Linked DNA regions of Schizosaccharomyces pombe. The protein of the gene in region 2 interacts with the protein of the main gene of each other region in a biochemical or structural test. Each region holds a gene or a part of one and is shown on either strand. Other genes may lie near its edges. The genes, in order: rna1, hhf1, hat1 and gcn5.

What was found.
Region 1: the proteins of hhf1 (region 2) and rna1 form a complex in vitro, tested with the Schizosaccharomyces pombe proteins (one study listed by BioGRID).
Region 3: of the proteins of hhf1 (region 2) and hat1, one has a biochemical effect on the other in vitro, tested with the Schizosaccharomyces pombe proteins (one study listed by BioGRID).
Region 4: of the proteins of hhf1 (region 2) and gcn5, one has a biochemical effect on the other in vitro, tested with the Schizosaccharomyces pombe proteins (one study listed by BioGRID).

What each region holds. Positions count from the first base shown.
Region 1 is NC_003424.3:5,029,205-5,034,274, forward strand, and holds rna1 (RanGAP Rna1), read left to right. Parts: upstream 1-2,566; 5' UTR 2,567-2,579; coding exon 2,580-3,740; 3' UTR 3,741-4,057; downstream 4,058-5,070. Other genes in the region: alpha-1,2-galactosyltransferase Gmh3, read right to left, coding at 1-794; RNA polymerase I upstream activation factor complex subunit Rrn10, read left to right, coding at 4,274-4,399, 4,452-4,619.
Region 2 is NC_003424.3:4,698,273-4,702,222, reverse strand, and holds hhf1 (histone H4 h4.1), read left to right. Parts: upstream 1-2,623; 5' UTR 2,624-2,826; coding exon 2,827-3,138; 3' UTR 3,139-3,450; downstream 3,451-3,950. Other genes in the region: hht1 (histone H3 h3.1), read right to left, coding at 1,984-2,394; multifunctional aromatic polypeptide Aro1, read right to left, coding at 3,731-3,950.
Region 3 is NC_003424.3:1,027,904-1,033,239, forward strand, and holds hat1 (histone acetyltransferase Hat1), read left to right. Parts: upstream 1-2,316; 5' UTR 2,317-2,326; coding exon 2,327-2,384; exon of another isoform or gene 2,385-2,434; coding exon 2,435-2,538; exon of another isoform or gene 2,539-2,599; coding exon 2,600-2,818; intron 2,819-2,907; coding exon 2,908-3,023; intron 3,024-3,094; coding exon 3,095-3,458; intron 3,459-3,514; coding exon 3,515-3,790; 3' UTR 3,791-4,038; downstream 4,039-5,336. Other genes in the region: ssd2 (succinate-semialdehyde dehydrogenase), read left to right, coding at 413-1,894; coronin Crn1, read left to right, coding at 4,279-4,312, 4,355-4,407, 4,456-4,683, 4,725-4,813, 4,863-5,336. UniProt on the Schizosaccharomyces pombe protein: Catalytic component of the histone acetylase B (HAT-B) complex. Acetylates 'Lys-12' of histone H4 which is required for telomeric silencing. Has intrinsic substrate specificity that modifies lysine in recognition sequence GXGKXG.
Region 4 is NC_003424.3:4,971,669-4,976,873, forward strand, and holds gcn5 (SAGA complex histone acetyltransferase catalytic subunit Gcn5), read left to right. Parts: upstream 1-1,955; 5' UTR 1,956-2,447; coding exon 2,448-3,812; 3' UTR 3,813-4,030; downstream 4,031-5,205. Other genes in the region: OUT family ubiquitin-specific cysteine protease Otu2, read left to right, coding at 1-469; SPOM_SPAC1952.04C (uncharacterized protein), read right to left, coding at 758-994, 1,184-1,254, 1,349-1,362, 1,576-1,667; SPOM_SPAC1952.06C (uncharacterized protein), read right to left, coding at 4,078-5,205.

The DNA.
Region 1 (5,070 bases), 330 kb from region 2:
TGTTCATGATCCGCAACCTTATTTTCTCTAAAGGATTTATCGCCCCATAAGTCCAAAAACAGAGCCATCATGGGCGACCTTCTAACAAAGAAACTTCCCGCGTTTAAGCCATTCAAATCTTGAGAAATCAATAGCCCTAAAGAACGAGCACTGTCAACAGTATAGGAACTTGGGGTGAGACGTTCGAGATCAGCACTAAATGGAGATATCATAGGTTCATTCTTCATTAACTTTTCCACTAAAACGTCAGGTGACAAAATATGTTCTTGAATAGAGAGTTCTGTGTTCAAAATTAACGCATCTTGGTCCAACCACCAAATCCATTTCGCATGAGGATGCTTATTCATTGTTTGTATAATAGCGGGCATTTTGGCCCACACTGGAGGAATGTTCATTTGGCTTACATTAACATATTCAAAGCCATAGTTGTGATGCTTTGCGTAGTTAATTCGGTTTTCTATGCATTGATTAAATGTTTCAGGTGCCATATTGCCACTTGAACGTCCATCACTCGCTAAGAGGATTACTATTTCATGGGATTTGGGCTCTTGAGGATCATCCTCGTTAATTGTCGCTTGATGATACGTCGTGCTAAGGCCTTGCATATCTTCATCCAGAGGTACTAAGTAGTCGTATTCTTGTACACTTGGTTTGGAAAATACATCTTGTAAACGTTCTAAAGCAGGTGAAGCAGAAAAAGAGTTTCCAAATTGGAAGTAAATGAGAAAAGAGCTAATCCCAATGATTAACAACACGAATATAACACGAGATAACTTCCACTGTAGGACTGCCATTTTAAAGATTAGCAGATGTTAAATGCAAATTAATAAAAAAATAAAAAATAAAATTTAGTCTTTTAGAGACAAGAGAAACTCTTTTTCAAGTTTCACAAATATAAACTGAGATTGGATAAAAGCAAAACAATAAGATACCAAGAATGGATCAGAAATTATGAATGAAATGGGAAACTTTCTACTCTTTCTCGGTAGAAAATTAGAAAGCCGTTTTAAAAATTAAAATGAGATTTGTGATATTCCAAAGAATACTACGTTTGAAACACGAATCTTCGCCCGTTGACTCAAGAAACGAGAGAAAACAGTAAAAAGAAATTGAAAATATAATGTAAATTATAATAAAAAAATATGAATGAATTAGATTCTTTAAAAAATGATTAACCAGATGGACCTGGAATTAAAGGCAGTGTGTAGTGGAAGGATTGAAATTACCGCATCATGGAGTCAATCATCATAAATTTACGGTTTCCTCTACTTATCGTATCCTATTTATAATAAAAGAAGAAAAAGAAGAAAAATCTGTATGGTAATGATTTATGTTCAAAATAATGAGTTGTTCCTTTAAAATCACGTTTCCAAACTTTTAATGACATGATTCACAGTACTTAAACATTTTAACCAGTTTTATACGTTGGGACAAATAACAGGAATGGCTTAATTCAGCAATACGTCTAAATCAATGTCATGATTGAATGGGAAAATAATCAAACGATTCAAATTGTTGAAACAGGTAAAGCAGATCAAGTACTGGAATGCGGACTGAAGTCCAATTCGAGAATGGTTACAACTATGAAATGAGAATTAATTTACTGAAAAGAATACAGTATCAATGGAATAGCTTTCCTGATAATGTGAAAGCTGTTTAAAGAGTATTCTATGTGTCTAGAGTGCAGACTCGTGGATTTTCACAGTAATGAATAAGAAATGTTAAACTAAAAATATCAATTGTTGTTATTATCTTGATTTTTCATATATCTGTTAAACTCCCGCTTTCCGATTTTCTTTTTGGGTCAACTCATAAATGTATATGTGTGAGTAACTGAAATGATCACGAAACAAGCGGAAAGCTGAAAGATAGGGATACTCATTTCAGATCTTTTTGATTCTTCATTTTTTGGAAGTCACCAAGCTCTTTTGGTCAATATTCCTTCGTTCAACTTCGTATTCTTATAAATGGACTAGCGATGAGGCAAAAATCTAGCAATGTTAATTGCTAGAAATGCAATTAAGTTAAAGCAAACTTAAGCTAAGAATTCAGGACTAAGGTCACTCAAAAAGGTTCTTCATAAGATCCTCTATACTTAGTCAAAAAAACAAACTATATGCAACAGGATTGTCACAGCTATTTTTTCAAAAATGAATGATAGATAAATGTCAAAAAAGCTCAATCATCCTATTTACAAAAGTTTTATACATGTCTTTCAGGAACGTATCCGAGCACTAATGCACCACTCCGACATTGAGTATCTTTCGGTTTGCGCTAATCTGATCTAATAATTTAAATGACTTCTAATAGCATAGAATCGTCTTAAAATTAAACTCATTAGCGAGAGATCGCATTTGAGTTTGTAAATAAAAACAGGTTGAGTAAAGGGGGTATCCGTCAAAAGAGGATAAATTTCGTTCTTCTTCTACTTTGAATATTATTTTAGTTTCTTTTTTAAAAGCCATGAATTCAAGTGACTGAAGCATCTATCCTCGATCAAATTTAACATACACAGCTAGTTCACACAATCTTTCCTCACCACCATACCTGCTATATTTTTTCTTTCAACAACCAACTCCATGTCGCGTTTTTCAATAGAAGGGAAGTCTTTGAAATTAGATGCAATTACAACTGAAGACGAGAAGTCTGTATTTGCTGTTCTGTTAGAAGATGATTCTGTAAAGGAAATTGTATTGTCTGGTAACACAATTGGAACCGAAGCTGCTAGATGGTTGTCAGAGAATATTGCCTCAAAAAAAGATTTAGAAATTGCAGAGTTTAGTGATATCTTTACTGGACGTGTCAAAGATGAAATTCCTGAGGCTTTACGTCTGTTGCTACAAGCTTTACTCAAGTGCCCAAAACTACATACTGTAAGATTGAGCGATAATGCCTTTGGCCCTACTGCACAGGAGCCCTTGATTGACTTTCTTTCAAAACACACACCTTTGGAGCATCTTTACCTACACAATAATGGACTCGGTCCTCAAGCTGGCGCAAAAATTGCTCGTGCCTTGCAAGAGCTGGCGGTCAACAAGAAAGCTAAAAATGCACCTCCCTTGCGTTCCATTATTTGTGGAAGAAATCGTTTAGAAAATGGGAGTATGAAAGAATGGGCTAAAACTTTCCAGAGCCACCGTTTGCTACATACAGTGAAAATGGTGCAAAATGGTATCCGTCCCGAAGGTATTGAACACTTATTGCTTGAAGGATTAGCATATTGCCAAGAGCTAAAGGTACTCGATCTTCAAGATAACACATTTACGCACTTGGGCTCTAGCGCTCTCGCTATCGCGTTGAAAAGCTGGCCCAACCTTCGAGAACTAGGCCTCAACGATTGTCTCTTATCTGCTCGCGGTGCTGCCGCAGTTGTAGATGCTTTTTCTAAATTAGAAAATATTGGGCTTCAAACGTTACGCTTACAGTATAACGAGATAGAGCTGGATGCTGTCCGGACCCTAAAAACTGTGATTGATGAGAAAATGCCGGATCTTTTATTCCTTGAATTAAATGGAAACAGATTTTCGGAAGAAGACGATGTTGTTGATGAAATACGTGAAGTCTTTAGCACCCGTGGTCGTGGTGAACTAGATGAGCTTGATGATATGGAGGAACTTACCGACGAGGAGGAGGAGGATGAAGAAGAAGAAGCTGAGTCTCAAAGCCCTGAGCCGGAGACTTCTGAAGAAGAAAAAGAAGACAAAGAACTTGCTGATGAGCTATCAAAAGCTCATATTTAGAGCAACTACTTTCCCTCTCGAACCCTGCTCCGCTGTTTCCGAAATTTTTTAACATATTTCTATTGTTCATGCTAGGCGGTAATGAACGATTGTGGTCAACGGATGGTCTATATCGACCATTCGATTTCCTTCTGCATTTTTATCAACATTCTGTCTTTTTACGCGGCAGGACCGATAAATAGTATTAGATTAAATCTGTATATGACAGAAAAAAAATTCCCCTTTCAAAAATGGCGAAAAGGTTCTTTACGTTTTATTAATAACCCACTTTAATTAAGTATTGGGTCAATATAATATGGTTTGGATTGTATCTGTGTAAAGTTGTTTTGTTGTTATGTCGTAAAGCCTGAACTATTTTTTCAGTATGTCTGTAAACCTCGAGATAAATTTTCTGTAAGTCGCAGTTAACTTTTAAGAATGTGGGGATTCCATTACTTGAGCTTGGTGTTTCCAAATATGATTGTACTACTGCAAGGACGAATTAGAAGCTTCACCTAGCATAGTACATACTCTACGTCCAACGCCATCTATTAATGTCAAATCCACCAACTCGGCCAACTTTGTATAATTTGGTGAATGCTGATGGTGAATTGTCTTACAGAGCTCGTGATTTAGTACAGGATTTTTCTGTTCCAATTCCACATGAACTGCCGGATCCTGTAAGTTCACAGCTTCTGCCAATACTTGTTTAACTAATCTTTTTATGTTTAGGATTTAGTTCATAGCATCCAGGATTTTGCAACAGAATACATGCTTGCGACAGGGAAAAAGTCATTCGAGTGTTTGGATGAAAGTGCTTTATTGGGGTTGGGATATTTGGTGACTGAATGGATGGATGCTATGGTTACTGATTGTTTGGAAGAATTTGAAGAAAGATGAATTATCCTTGTACATTTTACTTTTCATTCGTTTGTTTCGAGATGACTCCGTTACATTTGTATGACTAACTTTGATGATTTTTCTATATGGCGTAAAGTTGTTAAACAGCTATGAATGCGTATTTGTGTATTGAAATTTTTATCTTTTGATAATTGTTTAAAATCAACATTACAGATGTAATTACATTGCTTGACATGTATGCAGGCTGCTGAAAAGCGAGAAGCAACGATGCTGTTAAGATTTTAACAAGCTTTGCGATACATTAGCAAACATATTAGGACTTCAACTATTTTTTTTTTGCAAAGCCTTTACTATTAAATCCGAATACTGTTACCAGTGAATCGTAAAGACAATCACTTCAACTACCCAAAGCATAATCCAATATACATTTTATTACTTGGTATTTATACACGCTATCTAATGATTACACTTCAAAGGGGTCGAATTAAAT
Region 2 (3,950 bases):
CTTAACAGAAACTAATGATACAATTATGAATTTGCCCATATAACTGGAAAGCAGGTCTTTAAGTCTATTGATATTAATAATTCAGAAAGCTTTATGACAATAATGAATATGTAATCTAAATTTTTACTAATGATTTAACATTCTTTTTAACATCGAATTCATATCATAAAAAATTTAGAAAATGCTGATTATTCAGAAACAACCAAGCATTTTGCTAATAAAAGACGCTTGTTTCAACCATTTAATGTACTATGGCAATCTACGTCTGTTTAAACGATGAAAATTACCACTGTTTTACAAAATTAAAAGAAAGTCCTTCAATTTATACAAAAAATGAATTCCAAAAACGGTCAAGTTTACAAATATGGTACTGCAGTCATTTGAAAACTAAGCTTGAATTTTATGGAAAATAGCTATTTGTTGTAAAATATGAGAATAGTTATTATAATATTAGAATATTGTTATACTAATGTACCAATTTAACGGATGCATGATGAAGCTTGAAACTACTAGCAGTAAAACATTCAGCCAAAATCAAAAAAATATAGAATATGACTTTGTTAACTGTTTAAACGACTATATACAACGATAATTTATGTAAATCACTTTATAGCATTCTTCATTGTAAACAATACTACCACTCTAATAAAGTGTGCCTTCGAATTATGGGTCGAATATATTTGGCGGCTCGTGAATATTCTTGTTCAGTAATCCCAGTGTGAAAGGTACTAATGAATATACAGAAAACAAACAAAGAAACTTGTAAAAATGAGATAACATAGCACGCAATATTAGTCGGACCCATTATTTAGATGATTGAGTACTTAAAGTAAGTTCTTCTTGAATGAGCATTGATTGACATTGGTCTTTCAAAATTTCAAATTAATCAAAGCCCTCACATTCCGGATACAATACTAAATTGCTTTTAAACTTTCTGTTGCCCGATAAACACATCCCATCCTAGATTCTAAAATTATATACTAACTAAATTAACTCTGTGAGTATATGCTTAATTCTATATTTAAATTAAATGTTGCCAATAAATTACAAATATTTTGCTACTTCACGAAATGACAGGCAATCGCAATTACCAAATATAGCAGTCAGCAGCGCTTCCTTTTTATGTTAAGAATAATCATCCGAATAAATTTCAAGGCTTAATTATGAAGTCGCTAACAAAGGACTACTTTTACTCGTTCAACTATGCTTAAGAAAGCTCTAAATTTTTAAAAATAAGAATTAAAACGACCGTTAATTCTCTTATAAATGCAATTCCAGGTTCTAAAGAGAGGTTACATAACAAGCAGGAAAGAATGACTGATTATTTTTCACGAATTGTCTATTTTTTTTCGGCCGATAAGTTCATTACATGCTCGATTTGTCTTTGCAAAATATCTTTCCGCGATATATCAAAGCTATTAAGCTATTAAACAGTTCGTAAATACCTGAAAACAGTTTGTTCATATAAATATGTGCAATTCTTTATGCGAACCGCCATTAAACGATAAAGAATGCTGCGATAACAACCAAATCTCAATACCAAAAGTGTAAAGATTTTTAAAAAAAGCATTGTCTTCGTAGTTCTGTATTCTTTTATAAAACAAAAGACATAAATTTAACAGATACTTGAAATAAAAGAAATCATGTTTCAAATAAAGGTACTTGTTGTCATTAGTTTTCATTAATGTACATAATGTGTTATCTAAACTTGTCACTCTCAAGGCTGAATTCATTCGCATGAATTAACGACAAGTTTCTATAATTGAAGATAAATTCAAACAACCAAATTAACACATATCCGTTCCCATCAAAGTGAACGTTCATCTAGCTCTTGGTAATGTAGAACAAAAACAACAATTATTCACGAAGCCTGCTTTTCACTTATTGGTAGCAACATATCAAAGGGTGACAGTATAATACAGGCAAGCAGTCAATCAAAATTAATTTAGTCTCAATTACAATTGCCAAAAGTCCTGGAGAAAATTATGAGCGTTCGCCACGGAGACGACGAGCCAACTGCATATCCTTGGGTTGAATCGTAACACGTTTTCCGTGAATAGCACACAAGTTAGTGTCCTCAAATAGAGAGACAAGGTAGGCCTCAACAGCTTCTTGGAGAGCACCAATGGCAGAAGATTGGAAACGCAAGTCAGTCTTGAAATCTTGGGCGATTTCACGGACCAAACGTTGGAAAGGTAGCTTACGAATTAAAAGTTCAGTAGACTTTTGATAACGACGAATCTCACGAAGAGCGACAGTACCAGGACGATAACGATGAGGCTTCTTAACACCTCCGGTAGCGGGAGCGGCCTTACGAGCGGCCTTAGAGGCCAATTGCTTACGGGGTGCCTTACCACCGGTAGACTTACGAGCTGTTTGTTTAGTACGAGCCATTATATCAAGCTAGTAGAATGAATATCAAATAAAAAGACAATCGAGAAAAAAATAGCTGTTGTGCTACTTTTGCCAATTGTTGATCTTTAGAATTAATGGAAACGCAAGCGTACTGCAGATATTTGCTATATATATGTTTTGAATCCACCCGATCTCATCAAAAGCAGGGTTAGGGTTTTGATGCAGATTCAAAACAAATAGACAGCGTCGCCCCAACTTCCCTCTCTTCAGACAATCATTTCTTTTAATTGTTTTTGAATACGGATAAAATCCTTTGTCAATTTGCATTGACTTTTATCCTACCGTTAACATCTGTTGACATCTATAAATTCATTGTTCCTTTGTTAGTCAACGGAAAACCCCTTTATCTTTATTATACTTAAAGAATTACGCGTTTTTTTGCGTAGATTTTAATTTTTTCTACTTCTTAACATGTCTGGTCGTGGTAAAGGTGGTAAAGGTTTGGGAAAAGGTGGTGCTAAGCGTCACCGTAAAATTCTTCGTGACAACATTCAAGGTATTACTAAGCCTGCTATCCGTCGTCTTGCTCGTCGTGGTGGTGTGAAGCGTATTTCCGCTTTGGTTTATGAAGAGACTCGTGCTGTTCTCAAGCTCTTCTTAGAAAATGTTATTCGCGATGCCGTCACCTATACTGAGCATGCCAAGCGTAAGACTGTCACTTCTTTGGACGTTGTCTATTCTTTGAAGCGTCAAGGCCGTACCATTTATGGTTTCGGTGGTTAAACTCCTATTACATTGATTTTTTTCTCCTTGTTTGTATATCACTTTATTATTTACCACTTAATTCCTTTTTTACCCCTGTCTGCTATAAATGTTGTGCAATTGTTCGTGAAATTTGAATTATCTATCAATATAATTTTTGTGGATTATTACCTCTTTCTGCGACTTTCCCTTTTTCAGCAGTCTTATAAGTTCTGTTTTTAATTGGATTTGTTCTGCATATGTTTTTATGACTAGTTTCTTTTGTAGGTGATATTATTTTTTGCAAACAATGTCTTTGAATGTCACACTTTAATAAACTTAATTATCACGTTTCGCAAAATACTTCATTTTGTAGTCGAAAGTAGATACAAGTTGGTATGCAAAATGGTACAGTAATGTTTCCACTTCTACAAGATTATTTTTGTTGTTGTAAATTTACAGCGTTCATACATTTTGCGACTGCTTACTGATCATTGACATACCAAGCGTCAATTGGCTTCCTGATTCTACTAGCTGAAGTGCTAAAAAAAATTACTTCCTGTATTTTTATTCTACATTTGTATCAAAATAGATTTCAAAATACCTAACTAAATCGAAAATTTGAATTGTTGACTTACTCAATAACCTTTTGATAAACAGCATCAAATGGTGCTGTCATTCCAGTCCACAAATGAAAAGACGCAAGACCTTGACGAACTAAAGCTTCCAATCCGTTGCAACATTTCCATTCCAAGTCAGATGCAACAGCCATTAGAGGTGTATGCAAGGGCTTGTAAGCCATGTCAAGGAATACTCCACCATCGGCTTTGTTAGCAAGCAAAGCTTTAATAACA
Region 3 (5,336 bases), 3.7 Mb from region 2:
GACACTATGATTTATAAGTTAGTCTGCCGATATTTACGCAAATTCAATACGCCTTTCTTTTTTTCCAGGGGAAATGTTTGCATACACCAAGAACATGATGTTGAGACGTAAATCTAGTACGGAAAACCAAGATGCATACGTTATGGTTTGATCATTAAATGTCTTGTTGAAAAATTATAAATATGCATCGTTTCTCTCGATGTTTACACTACATTAAAAAAAAGAAATCTGCAGCTTAATTTGAAAACACTAAAAAAACCTGCATTCTTCTTTTTTCCACGAAAGATCTGTTGCTGCTTACGCTATTATTTGTTATTATTATAAATAATAATAACATTTCTATCGATAACTTCGTTTCATATAGTTTTTAACATTTACTCCTTCCCACTTTTTTGTATAATACTCTTCAAAAATGGCCCCTCAATTCAAACGCCCTGAGCTCTTTGGCTTTGATAAGTCTCATGCTCAATCTTTTGTTCAAGGAAAATGGATTTCTTCTCCTAACAACAAAACTTTTGAGGTTGATAACCCAGCTACTGGTGAAATAATCGGTAAAGTGGCCGATGTCTCAGTAGAGGAAACAAAAAAAGCCATCAGTGCCGCTAACGAGGCCTTCAAAACTTATAAAAATTTTACTCATGTCCAACGTAGTCAGTTATTGGAACGCTGGGCAGAGCTTATTATGGAGAACAAAGACGACTTGGTCAAGATGCTTACCTTAGAAAACGGCAAGCCTTTGAGCCAAGCTGAGATGGAGGTCACCACATGTAGCGGATATCTTAAATGGTATGCTGCTGAAGCCGTTCGTACCTTTGGCGATGTAGCTCCTTCCAGCTTACAAAGTCAAAACTTTCTCATCTCCATCAAACAGCCAGTTGGTGTCAGTGCCTTGATTACTCCTTGGAACTTCCCCGCCGCCATGATTGCTCGTAAAGGTGGTGCCGCTTTGGCTGCTGGTTGTACCGCTATTTTCTTGCCTGCTTTCCGCACTCCCTACGTTTGCTTAGGTTTAGTCAGGTTGGCGCAAGAGGCCGGTTTCCCTGACGGTGTCTTAAATGTGATCACTTCTTCTGATGCATCTGCTCATGGTAAAGAACTGACTACCAACCCTATCGTTCGTAAGGTTTCCTTCACTGGTAGTACTAATGTCGGTAAAATTCTTATGGGACAAAGTGCCAGCACAATCAAGAAGGTTTCAATGGAGTTAGGAGGTAATGCCCCTTTCATTGTATTCCCTGACTTCCCCATTGATCAGGCTGTCGAATCTTTCTGCACTATCAAGTTTAACTCTTGTGGTCAAGTTTGTGTCTGCCCTAACAGAGTTTACGTTCACAAGAATGTTTACGACGAATTCGTCAGCAAGCTTACCGAAAAAGTCAAGACCATTAAAGTAGGAGATGGATTTGACTCTTCTTCTGCTGTTGGCCCTTTGATTTCTCAAGATGGATGCAAAAAGGTCAGCAAGCACATTGAAGATGCTGTTTCAAAGGGTGCCAAAATCACTGTTGGTGGAAAGGAGATTTCCTCAAGCAAAGGTTATTTTTTTGAACCAACCGTGCTCTCCGGTGTAACTCAAGACATGTTGGTTGCTAGCGAGGAAACATTCGGCCCACTCGCCTCTGTCTTCAAGTTCGACGACACCGAAGAGGTGATCGAATGGGCTAACGACAGTGATGTTGGCTTGGCCGGTTACGTCTTTACCAATAACTTGTCCACAATGATCCACGTTGCCAAAGAACTAGAGGTGGGTCTTGTAGGTGCCAATATCGAAATGGTTGACGAACCATTTATTTCCTTTGGCGGCATCAAACAGAGCGGTTTTGGCAAGGAAGCCGGTCGTTTGGGCGTTCAAGAATTTATGGTGGTTAAGGAAATCAATCTCAAGACTCTTTAAGGATTTTCGCTTTAGAAAGCTGCATATTATTGAACAAGCAATGATGTCCTCTTTTGGTTAATGACTAAAAAATCCTGATGTTATGACTGTTTTACATGTTTGCGATACAAATCGTATTTTAGTTTAATGATATCAAAAAAATTTAATACCTGAACATCGTGGGTCATCGATGAAGAATGGATTGTTGTGTCAGAAAATCTATACTTGTAGTTATTGTTCTGAGCAATCTGAAAAGTTATAAAGAATTGTAGGTTCTAAAATTGGCAATACTGGAGCTAGAAATCTATATAATAGTAAATATTTTTTAATAATAACAGGTGTAGCACGTGAAATTTTGCGTCGCCTTGTAGTTTGTTACTTCCAACTAGACACATGTATTTTTTGTTGTTTGACTTGAAATAGGGTCAGGTATTCAATTTTCCGTATGCAGTGATGAGTGCTGTTGATGAATGGGTACATAATGCCAATGAATGCATAGAAATTGTACAAGGTATGCTATGTTAAATTATAATGTTTTTACCTTGTGTTAACACCTGTCAGTAAACGAAAAGCATGAAAAAGATTGTCAATACCATCCTAGCAATACATATGCAATATTTGGAGATGCTGAGGTTATTTATGGATATAAAGATCTAAATGTCACTGTAAGATTAAATCAGCAAGTTTTAGTCATGAAATTTGATTGCAAATAGTAACAGTTATTAGATAACCTATGAATGCCCATTGATGGTCCCAAAACTGGAAATCTCATATTCAGAGCGCCTAGCACCAGATTCAGGAGTGGAACCAACTGATATTGAAGGAACATTAAACACTTATCTAAAAGATCGTTCCATTAAGGTTGAAGGAAACTCATTTGACGTTCATTCGGCAAATAGTATTCATAACTATTCCTTTAATGGAAAAACATTCAAGATTTTACAAGTATGTTCGATTACCTTTCAATTGGAGAAGTATTCAATTATTGAATATCCCTATATGTTCTTTGGCTAATAATCGTAATGTATTAATAGGCAACGGTTCTTGAAGCTAGTGAGATTATGCAGCATTTGCAAATATTTTCCTTATTTTTTATTGAAGGGGGCTCTTTTATTGACCTTAATGATCCAAGATGGATGGTATATTTACTGTAAGTTTGTTATTTTCTACGCGTCTACTTTCCTTTTACCTTTTTATCGAGGTTTTATTAACAAAAATAAGTTACGAGACTACTGAAGATGATTATTGCTTACGTGGTTATTGTACTGTATACAAATATTATAAATGGGACAAATTAATTCACGATGGTATTCGAGCTCGTATCTCACAATTCGTGATTTTACCCCCTTTTCAACATCAAGGACACGGTTCGCAATTGTACAATGCTATTGTTAGTACCTTTTTGAAAAATCCTAAAATTTTAGACTTCACAGTTGAGGATGCATCGGAAGCGTTTGATAGCCTTAGAGACCATTGCGACTATAAAAGATTATTATCAATGGGAATATTTTCAGAACCTGACTTTCATCCCTCTCTTTCTAGGCAGTGGATAAACTCGAAAATAGCTGAAACAAAGTTAACCCAGGTTCGTAATTTGCTAAATTTACCATGCAATGCAACTTACTAATTGTCTTTTTTTAGCGTCAATTCTCACGCTGTTGTGAATTAGCATTTACAACGAAACTAAAAAAGCTTTCATTATTGGAGCGGAAATCTGTTAGACTAGGAATAAAGGAAAGGATTTTTCGTCAAAATCTTGATGTGTTGCTACAGTTGGATAAGTCCGAACGTATTGAAAAAATTCATAACGCCTATGAAAATCAGTTTGATGAGTATAAACAGATTGTCAAAAAGCTACCCAAGCTTAAGGAAGATTCGCCTCGAAAACGCCAAAAACTTGCTCAATCTTCTTCCTAAATGAAAACACTTTTAGAGATCTGAAATACTTTGAGAATATTGAAGGCATATTAGCATAAAAAGTTATGAGAATCGACTAAATTACACTATTGGACGCAATTACTTTTTATATAATTTGCTTTTGAAAGCTTTCGCTTGAAATGATTAAAGACATTTGAAACAGTGATCATTTTAATAATATAAATTTTGTATATATTTTGCAAATTTAGTGTGATATCTAGTTTAATAAAATCTATAAAGGCACCTTATAAAAATTCAAACAATTCCTCATAATGAACTGCTTTTTCCAAAATTTAAATATTTTAATATCTACTATCAATAATATTGGTTATTTTCAACGACCAGTACAACTTTAGGTGCTTGTCATTCTCATCCGTCCTCCTTCCTATTCCGATCCCGACTTTGTTCATTACCTGACACCCCGGATAAAGTTAGCTCAATTAGCAAATTCTCATTCGATCTTATAAAGGAATTATTCTTTTTCAAAAATGAGTGGAAGATTTGTGAGAGCTAGTAAATATAGTACGCATGCTTTTTGAGTAAATAATTATTAACTGACGTTAGGACATATCTTTGGACAAACCTGCAAAAAAGAACTTTGCTACGACAACATAAAGGTTGGTCGATACTTTAATGGTTTGAAATTTACTAATTGTCTTCAATAGCTTAGCAATAATGCATGGGATTCTAACCTATTGAGTGTGAACCCCTTTTACCTCAGTGTTAATTGGAATGCGGGAGCTGGAGGTGCATTGGCAGTTATCCCTTTAAACGAAAGAGGAAAGCTTCCCGATCAAGTTAATTTGTTTCGGGGCCATACTGCGGCTGTTTTAGATACTGATTGGAATCCCTTCCATGATCAAGTATTAGCATCCGGCGGTGATGATTCTAAGGTATCCTGCTATTTGACTTTATTTATGTATTAACGAATTAGATTATGATATGGAAAGTACCAGAAGATTATACTGTTATGGAGCCTTATGAAGATGTTCATCCAATTGCTGAATTAAAGGGCCATAGCCGGTATGTCGTACATTGCATTAGGGTTTTAGTTACTGACTTTTTTGTATAGTAAAGTTGGTCTTGTTCAATATCATCCCACTGCAGCGAATGTTTTGGCATCTTCTAGTGCAGACAATACTATCAAGTTGTGGGATTGTGAGAAGGGTGTAGCCCATGTATCTCTGAAAATGGATGTAATGTGCCAGTCTATGTCGTTCAACGCTGATGGTACCAGACTTGTAACAACTTCTCGAGATAAGAAAGTTCGCGTCTGGGACCCTCGTACTGATAAACCAGTCTCCGTTGGAAATGGTCATGCAGGTGCTAAAAATCCCCGTGTCGTTTGGCTCGGGAGCCTTGATCGTTTTGCTACAACTGGTTTCAGTAAAATGAGTGATCGTCAAATCGCTTTATGGGACCCTACCAATCTGTCTGAACCGATAGGTGGTTTTACCACATTAGACACCGGTTCGGGAATCCTTATGCCATTCTGGGATGATGGAACAAAGGTAATATATCTAGCAGGTAAAGGTGATGGTAATAT
Region 4 (5,205 bases), 270 kb from region 2:
AAATGAAGAGAAAAAAAAGTTTTCAAAAATCCTTGAGGAAGCTGGACTTGTTGCAGTCGATATACCAGCGGATGGAAATTGTTTATTTGCTTCCATTTCACATCAGTTAAATTATCATCATAATGTTAAACTAAATAGCCAAGCTCTTCGTAATAAATCCGCTGATTATGTATTAAAGCACTGCGAACAGTTTGAAGGCTTTTTGCTAGACGAAGAATCTGGAGAAGTTTTGCCAGTATCCGATTATTGTAACGAAATTCGAAACAATAGCAAATGGGGAAGTGATATTGAAATACAGGCATTAGCAAACTCTCTTGAGGTTCCTGTTCATGTCTACAACACAGAAGGTCCAGTTTTAAAGTTTAACCCCTCAACGGTCAAGTTCGAAAAACCGTTGTGTATAGCATATTACCAGCATTTGTTTGGGCTTGGCGCTCACTATAATAGTTTATTATATCGGGACAATTAAAAAGATCTAATGAGATGCTTTAGATAGGTTTTTATCCTTTGGTTTATTAGCTTCCTTCCTCGCCGGAAACCATTTAAAAAGGCTGTGCCTTACGAGTTAGATTATATGAATAATATTTATGAATTAAAACTCTTCTGTATTCTATTAATCAAAAAAAAAAATTAGCCATTATTATCTATCATATCCAGTCATATAGTATGCACAATAAATATTACCAAACATGCTTAGAAAGCTTCATCAGGGAAGCATTAGAAACGGTAGAACAATAAATAGAATTAAGGTAGAACATTACTTGTAGCTGTAAGGGGGTGGTGCCTCATCACTTTTTCTTGGAGGCGGTATATGTGGTTGAGGACGAACGTTAGGAATATCGGTTTGTTGCGAACTTGAGCCAGGAAAAAATGCATGCTGTTGAGCACTCGCCTCAGGTCTTTCGGGAGTAGGAAGATCTTCACGCCTGCGCCTTTGATCAATCATGGCCGAATCTACTGGTTCATACCACCCACAATGAGAACAACGAAGTACCTGCTCTGAGTTAGCAAGTGAGTGCTTATTAGTTGGACAGCAAAATAATCCCAACTTTCCCTGGAAAGCATGTAACATTGAAGATTGAAGAATGGCTTAGAAAATAACAAACAAGGTCTGTCAGGTTTCCAAACAATGATAAGTAGAAAGGGTCAACTACATAACATATGCTTTCTTGAATTCCCTTACCTTACTCGTATAAACCGGGAGAACAGGCAAAACGATGAGTGCTAAAGATTTAACCAAACGATATACCCGAACTAAAAACCAAAGTTTTACGTTAACATTAATAAAACAACCCAAAGAAAGAGCAATTGCCTTCATGCAACTACACCACTTATATGTGTCTCATACCAGTTTTATTTTGGCTAAAAAGAAAGTATTAGCAAAAAGTGCTGATGAAAAGAATAGAAGGAAAACAAGAAGACTGCTAGAAACTATTTTTAAATGACAAATTTTAATAAAAAACAAGTGCGTAATTTCTGAAAACAAAATGTTTCTACAATTGTTCCATTTCCACTTCGCCATTTAAACAATGTACTCAATCCACTTGTTTTAACACTAATTCATTGATTTCATACCATACAGGACATGTCAGTAAGACGTGCTTATATTTGCTATTGACTTTCCATATGTCTTGAACATTCAGCGGTATCGGCAAGAAGAGGAACATCTCACGTTAAGAGTCTTAAAATCTTCTTTAAAAAAAAAGAAAAGAAGTTGGATATTATAATGAATAATTCGAGTTAAATCCAAAATATTCGTTTTAGCAGAGTCACTCCATTAGTACGTAGACTAAGCCTCACAGTTAGTGTAATATCACAGAAAATATTTTCGTTAGCTTTATCGCTAAATACATAAAAGAATATCATCACAAAAAGAGGTATTGCTAACGAACTACGGTGCGTCTCTATATTTAGAAGCAACACCAATAACTTCAAAAAATGAAAGCAGAAAATTCGTAGAGAAGAAATTTTCTAATCTTGCATCCCAAGTCAAATCATGTATTTGTGTCTTTAATTAGTAAATATTAGGATAATCGTTGATTTGAAGTATTAAAAAATTGATTGTATTTTGGAGCGCAAATCTGAGATTTTTTTTATAGATTAAAAAATTCTCCTTGATACGGTCATTTTCGGTTGACTTGTGTTCAAACTCTTTCTATAAAAAGAGGTTCTTTTTCTAAGAGAATCCCTGCCGAGTTTCCTTAAGTTTTAGAAAGGTAAAGGGCTGGTCGACGTCTTTTCACATTGTTGGTGCCAAAAACAAAATTTTCGAGACAAATAACTGGGTTCGTGGTGTATATTTTAACAAATTATCGTTTATTTTAATTTTCTGTATTTCGTTATTATATACCGTTTTTTCGTGCTCGTTTCATCTTGTATCGTTCTTGACAATTTCTGTATCTTCACTTTTTGGATTTATTTGTTTGGATGCGTGGCATAGAATAATCATGTCGAATTCGTTAAATGATCAAACACGACCACCCGATTCAAGTGTTGTAGACAGTACATCTTCCAACTTTCCAAATGCGTCAAACGATAGTGTACATGATAAACCGGTAAAACAGGACGAACAATCCAATCCAAATGTTCGCGAAGCAATTGCTAATTCCGATGGACAAGAATCTTTAGCTGTAAAGGAAAACAAGGATACGGAAAGCTCATCCTCTCATTTCGTACCTAACGGAGTTTCAAATTCTAAAAAGAGAAAGCTCGTGGCTACAGATTTAGATGTTGATTTTGATATTAGTAGTGTACGAGTTACTGAAAAGCCATCTGTATTAGAAGAAAAAAGCGGCGTTATTCAATTTCGTGTTGTTTCTAACGACGACACCGCCGACAGTATGATCATGTTGACTGGTTTAAAAAACATATTTATGAAACAACTTCCTAAAATGCCAAAAGAATACATTACGCGGCTAATTTATGATCGAAACCATCTTTCAATGACCATTGTCAAAGATAATTTACATGTAGTGGGCGGTATTACTTATCGTCCATTTGAACAACGAGGATTTGCCGAAATTGTATTTTGTGCGATTGCTTCCAATGAACAGGTTCGTGGTTATGGTTCTCATTTAATGAATCATTTAAAGGATTATGTCCGTGGAACTACTACAATTCAGCACTTCTTGACATATGCAGATAACTATGCAATCGGGTATTTTAAAAAACAAGGATTTACTAAGGAAATTACTCTTGACAAGTCTATATGGGTTGGCTATATTAAGGATTACGAAGGTGGCACACTTATGCAATGCACCATGATTCCAAAAATAAAGTATTTAGAAGCTAATCTGATTTTGGCTATTCAGAAAGCTGCTGTTGTTTCCAAAATTAACAGGATCACTCGGTCGAACGTTGTTTATCCTGGTTTAGACGTATTCAAAGATGGTCCAGCTCATATAGAGCCGTCTCAAGTTCCTGGGTTGATGGAAGTTGGATGGTGCAAGGAAATGGAAGAGCTCTCCAAAAAGCCCAGACCTAAACCTTTTTTTGCCGTTTTGGAAATGCTTTTTACAGAAATGCAAAATCATCCGTCTTCCTGGCCCTTTATGCAACCGGTTAGTAAAGAGGATGTACCCGATTATTACGAAGTTATTGAACACCCCATGGACCTTTCGACTATGGAATTTCGGTTGCGTAACAACCAGTATGAGTCTGTAGAGGAATTTATTCGGGATGCAAAATATATATTTGATAATTGCCGTTCTTACAATGACTCCAACACGACTTACTATAAAAATGCCGATAGATTGGAAAAGTTTTTCCAGAAAAAACTTCGTGAAACTGAGTATTCACACTTAGCCGATTAATCATTTACATTTATTATCATCGAAACGTCTATTCCGAAGTTTTATTGATTATAACATATACATTTCACCTTTTAATTTTTTACACGAATATCTTTTGTGCCTTCCAAATATGCTGGCATATCAAGAACTGCTAGTGTTTAATTTTTAGTTTTTTTGTTTAAAAATATATATAATTCTATAATACCAAACACTCTTTATGTTCCATAATAACAAATGTACAACTCATTAAATTGAAAATATGTTATCAGAACAAGTCATGATTTTATTACACAGATGCTTGCATAGATCCAAGTAAAACAGTAACCATAGGTTTTTCGTCAATTCTGTAGTAAGAGTCGTTGGCCTCCACCTCTTCGGACTCCACCGTCGGTTCTTCAAGGTTTTCATGATAATTTTTTAGAGCATCAGTCAACTCATCAATTGGAATGGATGCTTCGGAAAACAGCATCTTAATTTTTTTCAATGTCACTGTATTTTCAACGCATAACCACGAAAGGATAAGAACTGTAGATTGGAAAGGAAACAGTCCATGATCAATTTGTTGGAGAAACCATTTGGTACTCTTTTCCTCCGAATCAGGACTAAAATCAAGTTTTCTGCTTTGGTCAATACCTTTGAGTTGGATTCTCAAGCGATCGTAAATTTTGAAAAGGCGTTTCATTTTTTCAAAGTCATTTTCAATGAATTTCCGTAAAAAGCGCACCCTTTCTACGGTGTCAGCAGGTAAAGATCGAAATAAAGATGCCAGAATAGCTAATATATGTTCCAGAGTATCGGCTGCAGATATTTTCATAAACGCAGCAAAAATATATTTCAAACCGCCTGCTTCTACAAATCGAATACAATAAGGAGTGGAAAGAGGCCCAAATAAAAGATAGTCCAAAACTTTGATTGTAGAATAACGGCTTTTTCCTTTATGTTTCATATTTAGTATGCATAATTCAATACCTTCCTCTTTTAGAAAAAGGGATTTTCCTTTCGTTTCTTGAACCAGACTACATAAGCAATCAAACACGTTTTCCATCATTTCTTCTTCTGATCCTTGGGTTGGATCACGAAGCCTATAAGGACTGATCCGGCGCAACAAAAGATCAATCCCATTCAAGTTGCACACTTTCAATTTAGCTTCTTTTGAATTAGCGAGAATGATAGCTAAAATTTCAACAGCGTACTGCAAATTAGTTGATATAGAAGTTTCATCAACAGACGATCTACTCAGTAACCATTCTACCAATGTTGTGTTTTCAACTATTATTGAACAAATGCTATTGTCCACAGATAATAAATTCTCCATAAGAGAGAGCACACAATATACTCCATGTCGGTCTTCCTCATTAGATTCGTCAAACCTTTTGATTGTATTTGAAAGCAAAGGAAGCAAACCAGAATCTAT